Drosophila melanogaster: one gene and its partners. The protein of the gene in region 3 interacts with the protein of the main gene of each other region in a pairwise test. Each region holds a gene or a part of one and is shown on either strand. Other genes may lie near its edges. The genes, in order: CG8089, Sr-CIV, Invadolysin and ERp44.

Evidence for each region.
Region 1: the proteins of Invadolysin (region 3) and CG8089 interact in a two-hybrid assay, tested with the Drosophila melanogaster proteins (one large-scale study listed by BioGRID).
Region 2: the proteins of Invadolysin (region 3) and Sr-CIV interact in a two-hybrid assay, tested with the Drosophila melanogaster proteins (one large-scale study listed by BioGRID).
Region 4: the proteins of Invadolysin (region 3) and ERp44 interact in a two-hybrid assay, tested with the Drosophila melanogaster proteins (one large-scale study listed by BioGRID).

The regions. Positions count from the first base shown.
Region 1 is NT_033778.4:15,145,312-15,149,779, reverse strand, and holds CG8089 (uncharacterized protein), read left to right. Parts: upstream 1-1,955; 5' UTR 1,956-2,024; coding exon 2,025-3,899; 3' UTR 3,900-3,955; downstream 3,956-4,468. Other genes in the region: CG7544 (uncharacterized protein), read right to left, coding at 725-896, 957-1,368, 1,420-1,630, 1,692-1,814; Polr2K (RNA polymerase II, I and III subunit K), read left to right, coding at 4,340-4,397.
Region 2 is NT_033779.5:3,521,967-3,525,734, forward strand, and holds Sr-CIV (scavenger receptor class C, type IV), read right to left. Parts: upstream 2,091-3,768; 5' UTR 1,995-2,090; coding exon 1,787-1,994; intron 1,707-1,786; coding exon 1,178-1,706; intron 1,112-1,177; coding exon 628-1,111; 3' UTR 555-627; downstream 1-554. Other genes in the region: CG8851 (uncharacterized protein), read left to right, coding at 1-406; CG8852 (uncharacterized protein), read left to right, coding at 3,243-3,768.
Region 3 is NT_033777.3:10,142,686-10,147,779, forward strand, and holds the start of Invadolysin (invadolysin), read left to right. Parts: upstream 1-1,982; 5' UTR 1,983-2,715; coding exon 2,716-2,847; intron 2,848-5,094. Other genes in the region: TAF1B (TATA box-binding protein-associated factor RNA polymerase I subunit B), read right to left, coding at 1-249, 783-903, 959-1,386; CG42759 (uncharacterized protein), read left to right, coding at 402-489, 545-669. UniProt on the Drosophila melanogaster protein: Essential for the coordination of mitotic progression, and also plays a role in cell migration.
Region 4 is NC_004354.4:16,293,259-16,299,532, forward strand, and holds ERp44 (endoplasmic reticulum protein 44), read right to left. Parts: upstream 4,403-6,274; 5' UTR 4,384-4,402; intron 3,982-4,383; exon of another isoform or gene 3,825-3,981; intron 3,650-3,824; exon of another isoform or gene 3,533-3,649; coding exon of another isoform or gene 3,518-3,532; exon of another isoform or gene 3,413-3,517; intron 3,330-3,412; exon of another isoform or gene 3,227-3,329; 5' UTR 3,109-3,226; coding exon 3,052-3,108; intron 3,013-3,051; exon of another isoform or gene 2,874-3,012; coding exon 2,789-2,873; intron 2,057-2,788; coding exon 1,965-2,056; intron 1,861-1,964; coding exon 1,467-1,860; intron 1,397-1,466; coding exon 1,130-1,396; intron 1,056-1,129; coding exon 857-1,055; intron 783-856; coding exon 638-782; 3' UTR 595-637; downstream 1-594. Other genes in the region: CG3632 (uncharacterized protein), read left to right, coding at 3,518-3,532, 4,403-4,526, 4,591-5,582, 5,762-5,952, 6,018-6,213.

The DNA of each region.
Region 1 (4,468 bases), on a different chromosome or scaffold from region 3:
GCTCAAATGGCAAGGGAAATCTAGGCAGGAGATGAAAGTGCGGATACCCTTTAAAGATTTCAGTATAATTACTGACTAAGAATGTATACAATTTTATTATATTACACTTTCAACTTAGTATCTATCTATCTGTAAGAGCCATTGATTTCCCTTTTAATATACTCTCCCTGCATTGAAAGGTATTTTCGTGTCGAATAATTAGCAAACCAGGAACCTGCCTGTGCAGCAATTAAAATTTGCTATTCGCTATCCCACATGGTGGCCAAGCGAAACGCCCAAATTCCCCGGCTCAAAGGTGTGGAAACGTCGGTGTGTTGACCAGCGGCGGCAACTTGTGCTTAGTGAGCGTGTTTGCCTCCATTTCGGTTGCCATTTCGACTCCGTTTGCCTTTTTCCGTCGAAGTGTGTGGTCAGCTGTGGTCAATGATAAAAGCGAAACGATAATTTCCGTTCGTGGAGCTGGGTGGCAAAGTGACCGTTGACATGCAAATTTCCATTTAAGGCGAAAGCTTTCTAGGTGCCTTGGAGTTGCTTTTTGGGATGAGCACAGGTGAAGGTCACAGTACATTCGAAAGTTGCAGCAATTCTCCAAGAACTTATACATTAAAACTGATGCCTATAAAAATGAAATTATTGAATAAATCTTATAAAATCCAAAATAAGTTAAACTACTTCTCCCCTACCATCTTAAAGATACTCTACCAGAGCTAATGGTAACTTAATTTTATGTTGTCCCCTGCTGTAGTGGCTCCGAGTGGAAGCTCCAGGCCACCGCCCACCGAGTCGTGTGTCCCTGATGGAATTCAGTGGTGCTGACATTCGCCACCTGCAGCTCCTTGAGGTAATCCAGTATTCTTGGAACGTTGGCCTTGACGCCCAGCATCGTGGTGAAGATTCTGCAACGCAGAGAAAACCAACGTTAATTCAATCTCAGCAGCTAATGAAGATTGACTCACCGCACACGCTCCTTGTTCTCCAGACTCTCGTCTATAATGCGTTGCACAAACTGTACCTCGCCACCCACGCAGGTGAGTTCCTCCTGGCTTCCAGTTCTGGCATTATTGGGTGCTGGTCGTCTCTCTGGATTCCTGGTATTGCCGCCTAAGGGATTTGGTAAGTTCGAGTCGAAGAAGGGTGGATTGCACAGGCAAAATTGATACTGCAACTGTTGCTGATCCTGCTCAAAATAGCTCTTAAAGATGTTCGTGTTGTCTGGTTGAGCATAGACTTCTATAAGGCTTTCCATGTGATTTCTCTTTACATTCTCCTTGGCGTATTCTATGTTTTGCGGTTTCGATTCCAAAGCCAACATGTGCCAACCATTTTTCTTGGCCCCAAGGAGTGAATAAATGCAGGAGGAGCCGCAGCCTGTGAGGAATTCACTTAGTAAATCGTTGTGACATACTAACCATAGCTTACCTATATCTATACCACGTATGTTCTGCAAATTTAGAGGTTCCATTAGATCCTCCAACCACAAAATGTAATTCAAACGTAGTGCTAATGTGGGCACCAAACTTCCGGGTGCAAAATCCACATCTAAATCGTAATATTCCTTCAACAGCATTTTGGTCAACTCACGAAGGGTCTTTTCATTGCGAAAGTTCACAGAAACCTTGCCATTGAGCTCCTAAATTAAGCAATATTTTATTAAAATCAATGTCTAAGCAAAACAAATAGTTTTTACTTACCAACTGGCACTGCTGCCGAAAATCTTTGTATTTTATAGCCATTTTGGTATAGTCGGGCTGCGTGCGTAACACATTACGTGGATGCATGCCGACTATCTTTTGGTTTCCCTTAGTTTTTACCATATTTCGTTTTCAAAAAATCGCAATTGTTAATGAAATAAAATGCCGCCGAAATTCGAACAGCTGTTTATTGCAGCAGTCCGGCAACTCCAGCGAGCAAGAGATGACACCAGCTCCTCTAATTGGTAGTTTTATTTGGCCCTTCTGTGCTATCAGTGACTGGTCACACAGCCACTTGTTGATTCAACTTTTGTAAACAAAAAAGTAAACTTAATGTCTTGGCCTGGCAAACTGCTAGTTACCTACGAAAACTTTACAACCGATTTGCCAGTCCTTAGCATTGACAAGAAGCCATATGGATGCCCTGCTTCCTGCCACTGCAAGTGCAAGTGCTGTCGAGGATTCAGGGAGAAGTACGTGGCATTCAATGGGGAAGGGGAGACCATATTTGGAACGGATTTCTCCAGCGAGTTATGCGAAGACGTTCAGAAAATTATGCGTTTCCGAAGCTCGGATATGCTGCTATTACTGCGCACAGCACAATTACGCGATAATTTCTGGACCAATGAGTATTTTAAGGCTGATTTACAGGACGATTTTCGAGCAATATTCGATGCCTTCGAAGAGAAGAACCGCAAAGTACAATTGGAAAAGTTAGCTGCCATTCTGGATACAGTGAGCAGCGGCTACAGACGTTCAGTTAGCCAACTGGCAGGCCAGGAAGCACATGGAGCTCTGCGTCCCAAAATTGCAGCTTTATTCCTACCAGGACTGCGCTGCGATTGCTACAAATGTGAGAATCTACCGTGGAAAAAGCTGCAGGACGTGGAGGATCATCAAAAGACGCATCGCTATTCAGACAACTTTCACTGCCAGATATGCTACAGGCGATTCTATCTGCAGCACTCGTTAACCTCACACATAATCAGAAAATCCACAAGCTCGCGGGAACTTCACGAAAACAAGAGATATAAACGACTACTGGAGAATCAGAAGTCACAAGAGGAGAAGGAACTGGAGCTATCACTTAACAAGGTAGAGGATATCTTGGTGCCAGTTGCCGAGGACCTGCAATCGTACTTTAAGGATGAATCGAAACATCCAATTCAAAAACGAAAGACTTCTAGCCTCAGCAAATGTCCAAGTTGCGCTCAGAACTATGGCTTCTCCTTTAGCCACCAGCTGCATATGGTTAAGCATAGACGGGAAAGGCTATATACGAACTTCCCTTTTCACTGTTCCTTTTGCAACAGGTCGTTTCTCACCCGGAAATTCCTACGTAAGCACCAGCAGAGGGTTAGAACATTCAGTACTCTGCTATATCGCCCCTTTAAGTGTCCTCACTGCACATGGAGATTCCAACTGAAGTCTGCCCTCGATTCACATGTACTGCGAATCCATGAACGCAGAAAACCCTGCCTAATATGCAAACTACCAACCTCTCGTCTATGCTGCTCTGCTCATACCTCTAAGGAATGCAATAGAGCCATGCAAAAATATCGGGATAAAATGCGTCCGTTGAGAGAACCTCCAAAGGGAGGCTGCAGGAAGCAACCCACTCCAGTCTGCAAAATCTGCAATAGGAAGTTCACGAGAAAATTTTTCCTTGAGGAACACATGAACAAAGCTCATTTGAACAAGAGGAATTTCACCTGCGAAATCTGCGGAGCGAATTTCTACAGTCAGGGCACCATGCAAACCCACCGAAAAGCAGTGCATCTTTTAGTTCACACCGTTCAGTGTGAAGTTTGCGATCTGACCATTAAATCGAAGGGAAATTACCGCAGGCACTGCAAATCTCAAAGCCATAAGGATAACCTTGTAAAGTTCGGGAAAAATAATGACAAAACAAAAGATAGCAATCGCCGCAAAGGGGCAAGAACCACCGATGAAAAGCTTGATATTGAAGCAAGTTCGTCAACAAACACATGTATGACATCAGCAAATAAAAGTACACATAACTACAAGAAAATGGGCATAAAAACTAAGCAGACCCACTTGAAAACACCCTGCAGGTCGAAAAAACGTGTCAAAATTAAAATCTGTGAAACCTGCGGAAATTCAATTGTGGGAAGTATGCAAAGACATTACAGATCCATGAAACATAAACTGAACTTGATGGCACAAGCAAAAATGTTCAAAAAATAATATAATTTTCAATATAAGGTTTAACTTCATAAAAATAAAAAAAAAATATTTTTCTTATATTTTTTGGGATGAATAATTAGAACATCAAATCAAGATCAAATAATTTATTGTAAGCACTGATGTTAATATAAATATATATTTATTCCTGACTAGGAATACCAGTTTTTAGAAGATGGGCTAATACTCAATTTTGTTGTAAATTAATTATGAGTAATTTATAATTTTTGCTAAACTTACAAATTACAACTTTTTTGTTTGTAAGTTCAAAAGTTTTGGCGTAATTTAAGTTACCGAAATATACTAAGCCCGGAAAAAAGGTATTATTTGAGTACGGTTCATTTTATAGTTTACCCCACAACGGTCACTCTAAAACACTTTTCGGCAAAACAAAACACATTTTTACAGAAAACACGCTATAATTCGAATAATATTGATTAGAAATGTCGGAAACTAGCTCCAAGGATAATGTCAAAACGGCAATGACCTATATTTGTGGAGGTAAGTTGGCCAGAGAATATACTTCGATAGAAAAACGATTTTTTAATTACGGGCACATGGCTGCCGAAATT
Region 2 (3,768 bases), on a different chromosome or scaffold from region 3:
GAGCAGCAAAAGGCAACTTTCCCGCCATCGCGAGCAGAGCGAAAAGCAGCGCAGGGATCTGCAGAAGAAGATCTACGACCTCGAACTGAAGCTGAGTAGGAGCCAAAACTCGACGTCCAGTTTGATCCAGGAACGGGATAGTCTGATAGCTGAGCTCCAGACGCAACTCCACACCCTGGTCCACAACTTCGAGGTCTCGCAGAAACACATAAGGGTTCTCCGGCGGCACATCTACTCCATGACGAATCAGGGTGGCACGGGCATCGTTGGCAGTGGGTCGGCTGGCATTGCCCACTTGACATCAGGTGGTTCCCATCGACCCAGTCTGATCAGGATCAATCAGCTGCCCCAGGGAACCAGCAACGGTCGATTTGCAGCCCCCCGAACTCTGAAGGCGACGATCTAAACGGGGATCTGGACTGGACTGCCTAGACCTAGGCACTAGATTGGGCTCATCAGCTGTCCAGGCAACTTGAAGGTACTGCTCCCAGCACTTGGACTATGCCATCAAGTTGCCTGGACATTATCAGCCCTTATTAAGCCACCAATTATTTCACTCTAATGATTATGTAAACTCATTTTTAAAAGTACTTTTAATGATTCGGTTAAATGTATTGGGATAGGAACTTATTTAGGTACGACAGTCACATTACTATCACCGCTCCAAAGATTCCAAAGCCTCCAGAATTTGAGTTCATTATACGGAGCTATGACCAGATCTTTATGGCACTCCTTGACATAATTTAGGCAACAATTGCCGTTCACCAGACATGATTCTTGGCATCGACACCCTTCATTGATGTACCTTCCCCGAACAAAGTCCTGACCACAACGACCAGAGCAGTCGGTCATTTGGTAGCCCAGTGAATCCGTGATATCCGATTCTTCTATTGGTTTTTTTGGTTCCTCGATGAAGGTAGACCTCCTGGCACATTCCTTAGCTGCCATCAGCTTCACGTCGTCGATGGCAATATCTCCGTATTGGGACCTCGCATCCGTGGCGGTAAAGATCACTTGGAAGTCCTCATCCATCTTATTGATATCGATCGTGTGCTCCAGCCACCTGGCACCTTGTGATCCAGTCATCACGAATTGGTCGAACTTGTAGGGACTAAAAAATCATATTGCTGTATAAGGCAAACTTAATTCTAGATAAGATAATTAGTAAGCAACTCACTGGTTTGTTTTAAATATGTCTCCTATAGTCACCGAAACGGGTTTTATGGACACCAGCAGGCTACCCACTCCGCTGCCGAACATGAAGTAGTGAAACTGGAAGCAGGCGCCACTCAAACTGAGCTCCTTGGGATACAGTGGCGATAGGAAGTGGTAGGTTCCAAAAGCATCGCTTTCCGTCTCCATGCGCACGTAGTGTCCGATGGATTGGTTTTGGAACGTGTGATCTTTTTGGGGACCCGTTTTCTCAGAGTGAAAGTCGGCCACCGTACTGACCCGTTTCCAAGTTCCCAAGAAGCTCAATTCCGCCGTCCAGCCGCACATATCCTCGCTCTCGAAATCACAGGAAACATCGATCGTCTGGCGTCTTAATGCGCAGGATCCCAACTGGGTGCTCCACTTCTCGCCATCGCAATAGGCAATGCGATTTCCAACCAACCCATGGCCATCCGAACATATGATTTTAGCTTTCATAGGAGCATTTAAAACAAATCCGTTCTGTATTTGTTCGTATTCCTGGCAACCGCTTTCTGAAAGTTGTTAAAAATTATGTTAGCTTTTACTTACTTTAATTTATAATTAAAATTGTTTTCTTATTTTGTACACCTACTGGCGCAAAATGGTTTTTTCCCTCGAGGAATACCGCGATCGCAGGTGAACACTTTCGATCCTTGTAGAAAGTATCCTTGATCGCAATGAAAAATAATGGATCCATTTACTATTTCCGTCGAACCGTGTTCCAAGTGCACAGATTCTAGACATCGAGCATTTGTTCGATCCACACTCGATATAAGAACGATCGCCCAGAGCAATATCATAGCTTCAAGAAGTAATACTCTATACTTCTGTCAAATCCGTGCTTTCTTAGGCTTCGACGGAAAACAACGACTGAGTTAAGTGGGGATCTGCATTCCATTTCTATTAAATAAAAAGTACATGCTGAGTGTGTTCATACGAGATGAGTTCATTTGTGCCTTATCAGGTCTTGTACAATCTTTAAATTTATTGTTTTTATCTAGAATAATGAGTAACGACGCAGCTCAACAGCGTTTGTAAGTGCCAAAAAGTTCTAACTATTGAAATCTATATGCTTTGCGAGTTTGGACGAATATGGAAGGTTCTGTTCTAAGCGGACTGATTTTTAATGGCTATGGTGCTTTAATAGTAATGTTTGCATCGTTGGTGACTTTTTCTCTTATTTTCTACTAAATACATTTGTGGCCAATTTGGAATTTTGTGATCTCATTCCAAGCCAAAATAAGCAGCCAACAATGGCCAATTAAAATATCAATGTAAACAATGCGGTTCTTGGAAACTCACTTGCCTATGATTTTTCCATCGATCGTTTGCTGTATATAAGGATGAATATGTAAACATTTGCCTCACCCACTTTGGAGTGTGATTCTGTGCGAAAAGTGTTTGAAATCGGGTGTTTTTTTTTTTTTTTTGGGGCGACTGTGGAATTAAGGGGGGCGGGAAATTGGGGCTGATGACAGCTGAAAAAAATAGAGAAAGAAAGAAATGTGCACTGCGCAGAGAATAGGAAGCATTCTTCTGCGGAGAAACAGAGAACAGTCTAAATATAAACAAAGATACTCTCAGAAATAATTTTTAATATTAAAACAACTTGAATTGCGCAGGTCCAGTTGGCGCACAAATAGTACCTCCAATAGGATTTTTAATAAATTATTCAAATATATACACTGATATATTTTTACTATATCTATCTCTGAAATCTAAGTGCATTCAAAATACTTAATGATGCACATGAGTTTCATCTCGTTTCATCTTTTGATATGATTTTCCTAACCTATCAAGCTCAGCCAAAAGCTAGAAGAACGCAGCATACCTCTCCAGTTGGGAGCAGAGGGTAGCAAATGGTCGGTGATGGCCAGCGGGGAGCATCATATTGAAATGAAGCCAAAGGTGTTTCGGCTTTTCCGTATGAATTTTCCAATGTGAGGGTCGCTCGGCGATTTGTACTAGCCTCAGTTTGATTTTCGCACACGAGGTGGTCGGACACGGATGAGCTTGATAGTTTAGCGGTCTCTCGGTGACACGCTTCGATGGGCAGCTCGCATTTTTCGGTGGCGATGACGCAGTGCGTCTTCCTCGTTGTCGTATCGCAGATTTTGTCACACGTGCGGGCAGCTGGCGATGCGATGTCTTCCGCCAACGAATCAATATCGTTGCCACCGGCTTGCGTCATTCGGGCAACGCTCTATAAGACATCTTCGTCGGAAAGGAGTCAAAACGATTTTGGGCTGCCTCTGGCAATAGATTGCAGTGAGAACAGTAGCATGGGGATGAATTACTTCGATTTGGGCGCCCAAAGAGTGGCCGGAAAGAGGCACGTTTCGCTGGATGGCTTTCAGACACCACCCTTGGGAATCTCGAGCTATGGCTTGGAGTACCTGGACAATTGTGTGGATCTGGAAAGTGTCGAGATCCAACGTTTTGTGGGCGATGCCACCCTGAAACTGAGCTGTGGAGGAGCTCTGATCCCCAACCTGACCGCAGTATCTTTCAGATACAACGAGCTGGGTACATTGAGTGGAGAAACTATCCAGGACTTGCCACATCTTAAAATAC
Region 3 (5,094 bases):
ATACAACTTGATAATATTCAGGCAGTAGATGTTACGATCAAAATTGTGGAGCTGCTTGACCCTCGGTCTCAAGCTGTGGCACGACATACTACCCTTGCTGTCGCGGCTATGCTTGTCCAGGTGCTTCAGCGGCATATGGCGCTTCAAGGACTTGCGTGCACGCATTGACCATTGCAGGTGGAGACTCTGCTCCCCTTCGGACTCTGAAGCTCCTCCGTGCGAGCGGTAGCCGGAGGCGTCTAGATTGCGCTGCAAAAGGAATGGGATCAAGGTGTTACAGTCGCATCTGAGTAAACATCACTAATGAATAGGCTAACTATGTCATTTATATAGCTTGTGGAGCTATAAAAGACGAACGTGTTCAAGTCAGCAGCAATTTGGTAAAGTGTGTCGTTGCAAATATGTCCATGCGTCTGGTTCTAATTGGCGTGGCCATCCTGGCATTGGCCTACGGACAACCTGTTCCCGGAGCTCCAGAAGTCACTGAAAGTAATTAGATAAACTAATCCTAACGCTTATTGTTCATCCAACATATTCGCCACAGATTCTAATCCAGTACAGGAGATAAATACAGCAAAACCCATGTATAATGACTACCAACGGACCCTTTTCCTGCTGCTGCCCCTGCTGTTTCCTAACCAATTCTATATACCGACTACCAGCGGCTAATAAACTACCTTAGTTCTGTTCCACAATCTGAACTTGGCGCGCTCGTCATTTGGGTCACCCGTTAGAGTGCTCTTCTTGCCCTTTATACCGACTACCAGCGGCTAATAAACTACCTTAGTTCTGTTCCACAATCTGAACTTGGCGCGCTCGTCATTTGGGTCACCCGTTAGAGTGCTCTTCTTGCCCTTTTTGCCTTTCTTGAATGTCTTATGGTTGTAGATGATGCGGGCATCTCTGAAAGAATTCGGAATTTAAAAATAAGAAATTTTAGGAGAATGCAAGAACCCACATGGGCAGCGCCCGCACATTCAGTTTAGGCAGTCCCGTCTTGTTGCTCTTGCTGAAGGCCACCTCCATGCTGTCCAAGTAAGCCGCCCACACTTGCAGGGTCATCAGTTTGAGCTCCGGCTTGGCGCCCATGTTGAGCAGCTCCTGGAGGAAGCCGCGCAGCACGTAGTTGTAGAATTCCCACGAGGTGATATCGTCCTCATCCTCCTTCTCCGTATCCTTCTTCTGTCGGATCGTCCTGGCTGTATATCGGCCTGCTGCCGTGTCATCAAAGTTATCCTCGGCGGTAATGTCCACTGCACGAATCTGATCCTTCTGTGTGCCACACTCTACGCAGTAGTAGAATCCCTCGCGCTCCTGGAAGGTGGTACCCTCGCACACATCGCAGTGCATGTTCTCCAGCTGCATCGTCTCGAGAACTTCCTCCATTTTTGGGACTTTCTCTTGACGGTATCAGATTTAAATTATATTATTAATCAAACTCGCGGTTGTACACAAATCGTGCATGTGATAGTGGTGGGGAATGATCTATGTTTACAACGATATCATCCGTTCTTCGATTGATTCGATATATCGTCCGTTTCTTCTATGAAAACGTACATCACTAGATTAAGGCGGCAAATAAAAGTTGGTTCAAAGTAACATATTTTTAGTCATGGTATTTTAATAAAATTTTATTTTTATATAAAATTTAGAGAGCGGTTTTTTTTTGAAAGTATATATTAAAATCTAATAAGCGTAAAGGGTATTTTTTATTGTTTTTTATGCCAACCTGTTAGATGCACTTGTACGTTAGCCATCACTGAACTCTAATCTCTCGTAACATTTCTGTTATCTTTTTGGTGTGACCATAAGCAGTAAGAATTGAATTATCCATGTCTTGACGCTTGATTTTTAAAAAAGTCGATTCGAAATATCGATAGGCAACGTAATTTTTTAGCGCTAATAAGAGGTGTTACCAGATTCGGAAAAGCATAAGAACGCGTTTTTCGTTTTCGTTGAATGGCCACTCTGTCCTTGTGTCCATGTACTTATGCATATGTATAGAGACTCGATTCAAAACAAAATCGGCTGGCGAACGTTAACGTCGTTGTCGGACGATTCGACTCGCGTCTCTCTAAGTTTGTTGTTCGTGCCAACCACCCCCGCCGGTACCCAAACGCCCCCTTTTCGCGCGAGTGTTTTTATGGTTTTGCTGAATGAAAAGGCTCGACGAATGCGCTTATTGAGTGCCCACTGTGTCGGGTATGGCAGTGAGTCCTACAGAATGCTCTCGCTGCACGGACAGTTCATGAGAATTTGACATTTAAGTGCGAGTTTGTTCCTCCTTTTGCGGCTAACTGCAGTTTGTAGTTTGCTGTAGTTTTATGCACATTTTTTTGGCGTGGGCTGAGATTGGGACACACCCACCCGAAAACAAAAACAAAAAGTAGTCCAAAGGCCCCAATAATTGAGTGTCTCTGTGTGTGCGTATGTACGTGTGTGTGCGAGTTGTTTATGTGTGCGAGTGAGAGGAAAGGGATTCGAATCGAGCCGGTTTTCGCGAGTTAATTGACAAAGCAAACGGCGGAAAAGCAGCAAACATAAGCAAACCAAAGAGGAAAATAAACAAAGAATTTTAAGTGCAGATATGGGTGTTCGAAGTCAAGTGATAATTAAACAAAAATCACACTAATCCTGACAATGAAAAGGATCACCGCTACAATGCTGAGTACTCTATAATATCCACGGCGATATTCCACCCCGAAGTAAAACACCATGGCCAAAACGCCCCCGCTCCGCCCCCACGGTAACATGGCCAAATTCCTGGCAGCCCTCGGCATCTGCTCTTGGCTCCTCGTTTCGGCCACCGCTCACAACTGCCAACACCAGCATCCAAAGGCCCACGAGGTGAGTTGCGTTCGTTTGGCTCCAAAAATGAAGGGATTGGATTGAATTGGATTGGACTCTATGGTATTGGGTTGAATTGGCCTTCTTCTCTTACTCCGCCCTTTCTTGCAAATAAAACAAATAATATCCGGGAAAGGGCTATTTTGGGAACACGGAATCTTTAAGTGCTCACCCGCACACGTGTGCCAAATATTTACAATCCCAACTACATTAATATTAGTCTTTTTTTTTTTAGTCTTGCAACTAGCTAAGATTTTTCATGCTAGATAGCTAGATTACAAGATAGTATAAGGTATGAAGATGGTTTGGTAATTTCAAAAGAAAGAGTCCTTAAAGTTTAAATCAGCTGGAAAATCGCAACTTCGGAAATTTCAATGCTCGAGTTTCTTGTTTGTTTCTGCTTCGGCCATTTGGGCAGATTGTCCTTCGTGCTCATTAGAGAAATTTCATAATTGGTGCAAACTGTGCTCGTCGAAAATTTATAATTGATTGGGCTTTGGCATGAAAAAGGCAGGCCTAATTAGTGCCGATTTAAGAGGAGCCCTGAAATTGCCATTCTCATAATTCTGCCATAGAAACAGCGGCAAAAAACTGAAACAATAAACATCTAGCGATGGTTGGTGGCAACCACAGCTTATTGACTAATTCCGCTGGCTAATAATATGCGCATTCGAGATTCAGTCAGTCAGTCAATGCAATGTGGTTTAGTTTGTCAGTCAGGTGGTGGGGCTGCATATTAACAGGTAGCTCATAACGTGTAACCCACCATCGTGGTTACCAAACCGCCTCCATCTGCACCACATCGACATCCACATCCAGTGATCTAGTTAGGGTTTAATGTCAGACGCTGCCCGCCAACTTGTTGCTCGGGATCTGCATTCCGTCGGGCTTTTGTTTTTGTGTCTTTGGAAGTTTTTCGCCTGCACTTTACTGCTTTCCAATCAACGGCGATTTAATTGGCGCGTCGCCATAAATAAAGGTCGCCTTCAATTGCGCAAAAAGGGGAAATTTACATGATTACTGTATCGAGGCGGGTACAGTCTGTCCTCCGTGGTTGCAACTGCAGTATAATCGAACATAAAATGTTCTCGGAAATATGCATTTCCCAGGTGTTTTATAACTTTTCAAATATATGCACTTGTGGAGAACGAAATTAATACACAGCTGTATATGGTGTGGCAGCTAAAAGCAACTATAGTGTAGTTTGCACAAAAGATACATAAGCTTTTTGCAAACATTGGCAGGATGCATCCTATTTTCAAACTCACCAGGGGACACAGAACTTTTTCATTCGTTAACAATATAAAACACAATATATGTATGAAAAATCTGTGCAAACGCTAAAGTTTTAATTAGCGAGTAACTACTTTGTTTTCAAGCCAGTAAAAGTGAATTGGAATGGCAGGGAAATGAATTAATTCAGCGACTGTCTGTTGATGGCTAACGATGCTGTCGAGGTCGCCCAGCGTGTAATTAATTGAATTATCTGTAACTTAAACTGTTGTAAATGCAAAAAACCGTCGTCCAGATTATGTGTCTCTCTGCGCACGGAATGTCCTGCTGTCTGGCCACTGAAAATCATCCTGACAGGAGCAGTGTTTGTAGAGGAGGATAAAGACATAAATATATGTATGGCGAACGAACCAATGGTACATACATATATGTTCACATCCGTATGGAACATCCATTCAATTAAATAGCGGTCCAGCTGAAACCGAAGTACTCGATTCTAATTAGTGTTATATAAATTGAAGAACGCGGCTGTCAGCAATTGCGAGAACAACTGCAGCAATGTGTAAAATTCGCCAAATTAAACCATTTGTCACGTTGCCAGCGTGCGTGCGCGCCTGTCAGCGATGTCGCGGACTGTATTGACCTTCTAATACGATAAACGCACACTTAACTTCAGAAAAACTGCCATTAAATTAAATTATCTTTTGGCTTAGCAAACTGAGCTGCAGGGAATCTCCATTCAGGATGAAAAGCTTTTTGATTCACGAGCTAAACTGAAAAGAACTTAATCAAAGCGTGATGCTAACATTTTCCAGTACAATCAAAACAGGTGCTGATTTGATATGACGAAGTTACACATGTTTCTATATTAATGAAACTCCCTAGGTAACTATAAACACGAATGCAAATGCATTCATATCGACAATGTGTGTTGCAAGCATCTGCATGTACATATGTATTTCCATTTACATATTAAGTGGATAGCAGTATATCCATACTATACTTCTGCATTTC
Region 4 (6,274 bases), on a different chromosome or scaffold from region 3:
GAGTACGCTTTTAAATGTACTTTTAAAATTAACAGTCAGAGCAACTTTTAAATGATAATTGCCAGCACACGACTTCATTTGAACCGATTTTTATCCCAACACACACACGGTTATCGCTCGTTTTGACTGAATTATATTATATAATTATGTAATCTAATTTAACAACTGTAACTGTAACATGGTACATACGAATAAACATATATATATGTATACATATATAGCTCATATATATGTGTATATATATATATATATAGAGAAAATCAAAATCACTGCTTTGAATTCGGAAGTTGACATCATTCATTTCCAGCTTAGCTGACTAAGAAGGGGATTCCAAAGAATTCAATAAGTTCGCCTCGCCGAAATCTCCAGCGTAATTTTTAACAACAAAACGAGGAAAACTTGAAAAGTGACGCGTGCAATTTGTGGATAATTCAGCAACTGTTTCTTTTTGCAATAACAAAGGTGGTTAAATCCAGACTTTTTATTTTTAGAATTGCATTGAAGAGAATTGAGGCTGCTGCGCCCGCTATTTGCATGGATAACCGCTCACCTGCTGATCTGCTTTCAGAGAAGGTTGCTCATTATTACATTTTTGTATTATTTTCTTTTATTTTCAATATACATTATTATTATTATATTACAGTTCATCTTTTTCTAGCAGGGTGTAGCGATGCTTGGATGGGCCAAGTTCCTTGAATTTGGACTCTGGTGGCGATGTACCCTTGCCAGTGTGTGGGTCAGGTTCAATATCATTTGAGGGATCCGGCCCGTAATGAAATTCCCTGGAAAGCAAAGCAGCAGACCGTTTAGTAATTGAGCCCCATGGTGTTAGCAAAGGCGGCTGTATAACAATTACCTGTGCAGCTTGCCACTGTAGAGATCCTGAAGGAACTGCTTCAGCTTACCCGGCGAGTACATGTCACTGAAGTGGGGGAACAGATACATGTGCTTGAACGAGTCGATGGCAATCAAGGGCAAGTCATCCTCGGATTTACCCAGATGGTGCAGAGGATGCGCGAATCGCTTGCCATCGGCGGTCAAAAAGTTGACGTTCTCTGCAAAATTTCGAAAATACAATGTCAAACCAAATGCTTATATGCAAAGTAAACAACACGATGATTCATCTTACGTTTCTCATCCAGCAATTGACGCTCAATGATCGACTTGTAATCCTTGATAGAATTATGATCGGTTGGGTGGTGGAAGAGAATTAGGAACGGCAGACCCTCCTCCGTAAGTTCCTCTGCATTCTCAAATGTTATTTCCCGCACCAGGGGTACACACTTCTCTTGGACCCAAATTTTGAGCTCATCGAAATTTTGTAGGCTGCCAGTGTAGGTCTCATCGTTCTCATGAGACAGAGCTACATCAGGTCTAAATACTATGATAGGTGTACCTGTAATAGACCAAAAAAGCTGACATTCAGTATTGGCTTGGCATGACTTGGTGCGTTTGATAGAATTCACCTGGTGGATGCATGGCCTGGGCGGCATCTCCGAAGCCCACGTGGAACTGGCAGTCTTCCTTCAGATTTGTCGCCACCTTGCGGAATATGTCGTACTCTGGCTGGTCCCTACGATCGAAGTAGCCCAGAATGAGGCGCTTCTTCGAGTCCAGGTTCTCCAGATCCTTCAGGGATTTGAACTCCTGAATGGGATCCTCCAGCTGCTTCTTGACGAACTCGAGGAACGCTTCGGCTGAACGCTGTCCTCGGTATTCGCGCTTGCTGAGCTGCCCATTGCGTACAATTTTCAATGTTGGATACTTGTTTATGTGGAAACGGGACGCGATGGCCGTTTCCTTGTCGCAATCGACCTTGCCTAGCACCACTTTTCCAGCCTCTGGAAACTCCTCTTTAATCTGTAAGAGAAATTCGATTGAATGCCACGTATTTATTCGATATAAAATGTATATGAATGTATCGCATTGTTTGTAAGCTTTTACTGGCGATCCATTTGACTCACCTTATCTGCAGCTTCCGCGAATATAGGTGCTAAAATATTACTAAACCGACACCACTCCGCATAAAAATTAAGGAAAACCAATTCATTAGACGCTGCAAGAAAACAAAACGTGTTTTTAATGTAGGCACCAAATTGTGTGTAAAATTGTTGATGCGTAGAATACAACTCCGTTCAGATACTAAATATAATAACTTTTAAAAACATATATTTGGTAATATATTTATATCAATATTGAATTACGGGTTTATGTATTAATAATTTAAATGCATATGTATTTTTATGGAATATATTTAAATTTGTCGCTGAATATACATATTAAAGTCAAGAAATTTCTAGCATCCTACTATTCCATAACTTCCGAAAGTTAAAATTTAAGGGGTGCAAGCCTAAGGCCAGGCTTTACTGTAAAAGTTAACGTTTGGATAATAAAAAAAAATAACTTTAAAAAAACAATATAGTATTACCGCAGGATTGTGTACAGGACACACCGTATAAAAAGGACCTATTCATGCAAAGACCAAACTTCGGACATTCTGAGCAAAGAACTGCCGACCAATGGCTAGTGCCCATTTTGGCGGACTATCGGACCGATGCAGCATGAAATATAAACCGCCCTAATTAAGTTTTATCCAAATTCCACACCTTGTCCTTTACGAAAGCGCATAAAACTTATTTTACCACGTTGGCAGTGCCGAATTGAGCGAGCCAGTGATTTTGTTTAGTGACACGTCAATGGGACAAGTCGGCTAATTGATTCCCGCTCACGCTGGCAGCGGGAATGGCATGGGGATGACTGTGATGGTTATGGTATGGGCATATCTCACCTAGGGTCATATCGATATTATCACTGGTCATGGGCACGGCTCCGGCGGCATCGGCCGGCTGTGTGTACTGGAGTAGCTGTAGAATCTGTAAATTCCATAGGATGTCAGTTCTGGTTAGTTAGTTATTTGGTTAGGGGGAGCCAAAAAAAAGCCGGGGCTGTCTGGCCGGCCCCTCCCCACTGTTTCCCCGCCCGCTGATCGAGCGGGTGAGCCACTCCAGTGACCAGCAACATGACCAGACAGAACGGAACACGTCGACTCACCGCAACTAGGGCCACACACGGCCCAAGCTTTCCGATTCCGATTCTGGCTCCAAACATTCTTGTTCGGCTTCCGAATGGCGAATGCGGCTGGCGAGGAGTGGGCGTAGAATTGCGTGCACCGGCGGAGAGTCCAAGCGATCGGTTCTCTTTTTTTCTGATTTCAGTTACACATCAGCTGGAATGGAATGCAAACGTACGCACAATTATTAAGTTTTACAAATTTTTGGTTGATTTTATCGGCTGGCCAGTGTTGGTTAGTCTCGAATGCACATCTCATCGGCAATCGAGTAACGATAGCTTAGTCACATGACTTGGCCATCGCTAACAGCAGCGATAACAGCGATAGCAGCAAACAACGATAGCAATTTCAATGGAAATGAAACAAAAAGTGTCTAAATGAATACATATGCATACATATGTATGTGCAACAACATTTGCAAATCTTTGTTTATAATAGCTGACGCTTATGGATTTTATGGTGGTAAATAGAGCGAGAAAATCTAGAAGCCAAGCGCGTTTTCAATTCGGCAATACGTTTTGAGCTAAATACCCCGAAAAGTCTGCTGAGCGAACGGTTTGTGGAATCCAAAAACCAAATGTGTGTGCATACATATGTACGATTGTAATGTGTTATTGTTGCTCCCCGAAATATCGAAACACAAACATACCTACATAGACAAATATACATATGAGTTTATGCAAACATACACATGCGTAAATGTTTAATTACTTTGTTTATGACAACATACACGGCCATTAGAATACGTTGAGTACGATAATCGGCCATTTTTCGCCTATTGGCTATGAAATCGTGATAATCTAGTCTATTGGTATATATGTGCGTGCGTATGTAATGCAGCGACACACAAATATGTGCATACTATATATTGCGCACCTTGTGGAACTGCAACTGTGTGTGCTCACATAAATGTATGTTCATTGTACATTGTACATCCATACGTGCATATATATGCAGTGCATTATCTATATTGCCACCACGACACTCAAAAACTCAAATATTAACTTCGATTTGTTCTAAAAGTGTTGATTGTGCCCAATTTATCATCCCAGTGACATTTATTTGGCTTTGTTTGTGCACTGCTTAATGCACATGCACATATGTGCATAGTATTATTTATTTATTTATGGGAGCCACTATACTATACGTATCGAATCGTCCCAATAACATCGCACACACACTGTTGTGCGTAATTATGTATTCGGATGGTGGATATAAGAGATATATGCACTTATAAGCGATAACCGGATTTCCAATGACACCCAAATCGCCTTGCCTAAATATAAGCAAATAAGTAATTTCGAATACGTTACATGTTAAGTATTCTTTTAGCCGATTCACACAATGTCCGATGGATCACCGCCTCCATCGATTTGCTTTATCCGTGCCGCCGAATCGTATCCAAAGTCACAAATGGAGAAGGAAGACTCCCAGCTGTTCGTCCCGTTTCAAGAGTGTAGGTGTTCCCCCATATGCTGTAACCGATAACACATGCTAATCTATAGTATATATACCACTAGTGGCCGGCGAATCGATTAAGTACCTGGGGCGCACGGATGATGGTATCCTCGCCCTGTCCAATTATCGGATATTCCTTTCCAAGCAGTCAACCGGCTACGAGACCTACGTTCCATTGGGATTAATCGAATCCGTACAGGTGCGAGATCTGTTCCAGCTGATTGTCAATTGTAAGGATGCCAGCACTGTGCGCTGCTCCTTTCCGTCGGCGGAACAGTGCTCCGACTGGCAGCGCCGGATCCATCTGATGATCGGGGTTCCCGAGTCACTGGAGACACTCTTCGCCTTTCCCTTCTACTCCTGGACCTGCGATGTGCTCGGAAGTGGCAATGGAAGCGGTATCGTTAGCGCCCAGGCCAACGGAAACGGCCTGATTGCCAAGGATCGTTGCCTAACGCTACACAATGGCTTGGCAAAGCCAACAGCCAACGTCACAGCGTCGAATCCTCTGCCCGATCCTGCCAGCGAGACCATCTCAGCCGCCATGAGCAATCGCCTGCAACGATCAGTGCGCTATGAAAGCGACTTTAAGAACGAGGTTGCCCGCTTGGGATTCGATCTGAAGGGCTCGTGGCGCATCTCCACGGCCAATGCCGATTTTAAGCTCTGTCCCTCGTATCCACCCAAATTGCTTGTGCCCTGCTGTATCACCGATGAGATGCTCCACAACGTGGCCAACTTCCGGGGATCACGAAGGCTGCCGGCTGTCGTCTGGCGGCACCAAAAGTCGGGTGCCATCTTGGCCCGATGCAGCCAGCCGGAGGTCGGTTGGCTCGGCTGGCGCAACACAAGGGACGAGCAGCTACTCAAGGCACTCGCCGATGCCTGTGCCTTTGACAGGGGCGAGCACGCCAGGCATTCCACCTGCGCCAATGCAAAGGCGCAACCAACAAAGGGCTCCAAGGAGACCAACGGCCAGTCGGGCTTATCCGGCAAGAGTTCACCATCTCTGGACGATTCCTCGCATGAGGAACTCACGCTGGATGAAATCAAGGTAAGTTTATTACCAAAATAGCCGGGTATTCTTGAAATGAAGGTTTCAGTTACCATATAAGAAAACATTCATGAATAATTATCATAAATTACTTAACACGGAGCAGTAAAATGATGTCAAAACCGCCAAGTGCTAATGAAATAATTTGATCATTGCTCTTAAATTGTATTTGCTTTCAGAAAATCCTCATTGTGGATGCTCGCAGCTACACCTCCGCAGTTACAAATCGTGCCAGAGGTGGCGGCTGTGAGTGCATCGAGTACTATCCCTGTGCAGAGATTGAGTTTATGAACTTGGGCAACATCCACGCCATTCGAAAGAGTTTCCACGCTGTCCGACAGCTATGCGCGTCATCCCCCGATGATCCAAAGTAAGTTTACTAGCTGATTATTAAAGATATATATATATTTATGTAATGGAATCATATTCTTGCAGCTGGTACGGACAACTGGAAAAGACCATGTGGATGCAGCACCTGTCGGGTCTGCTGGGAGCCACCATGACCGTTGTGCACACCATCGAGAAGAATGGACGACCCGTCCTTGTACATTGCTCAGACGGTTGGGATCGCACTCCACAGATCGTGGCCACGGCGCAATTATGTTTGGATCCCTACTACAGAACGGTTGAGGTACGTTGATATACATCAACATTTGTGTTCTATGGACTAATACTCTACCTACTTGCTTGTA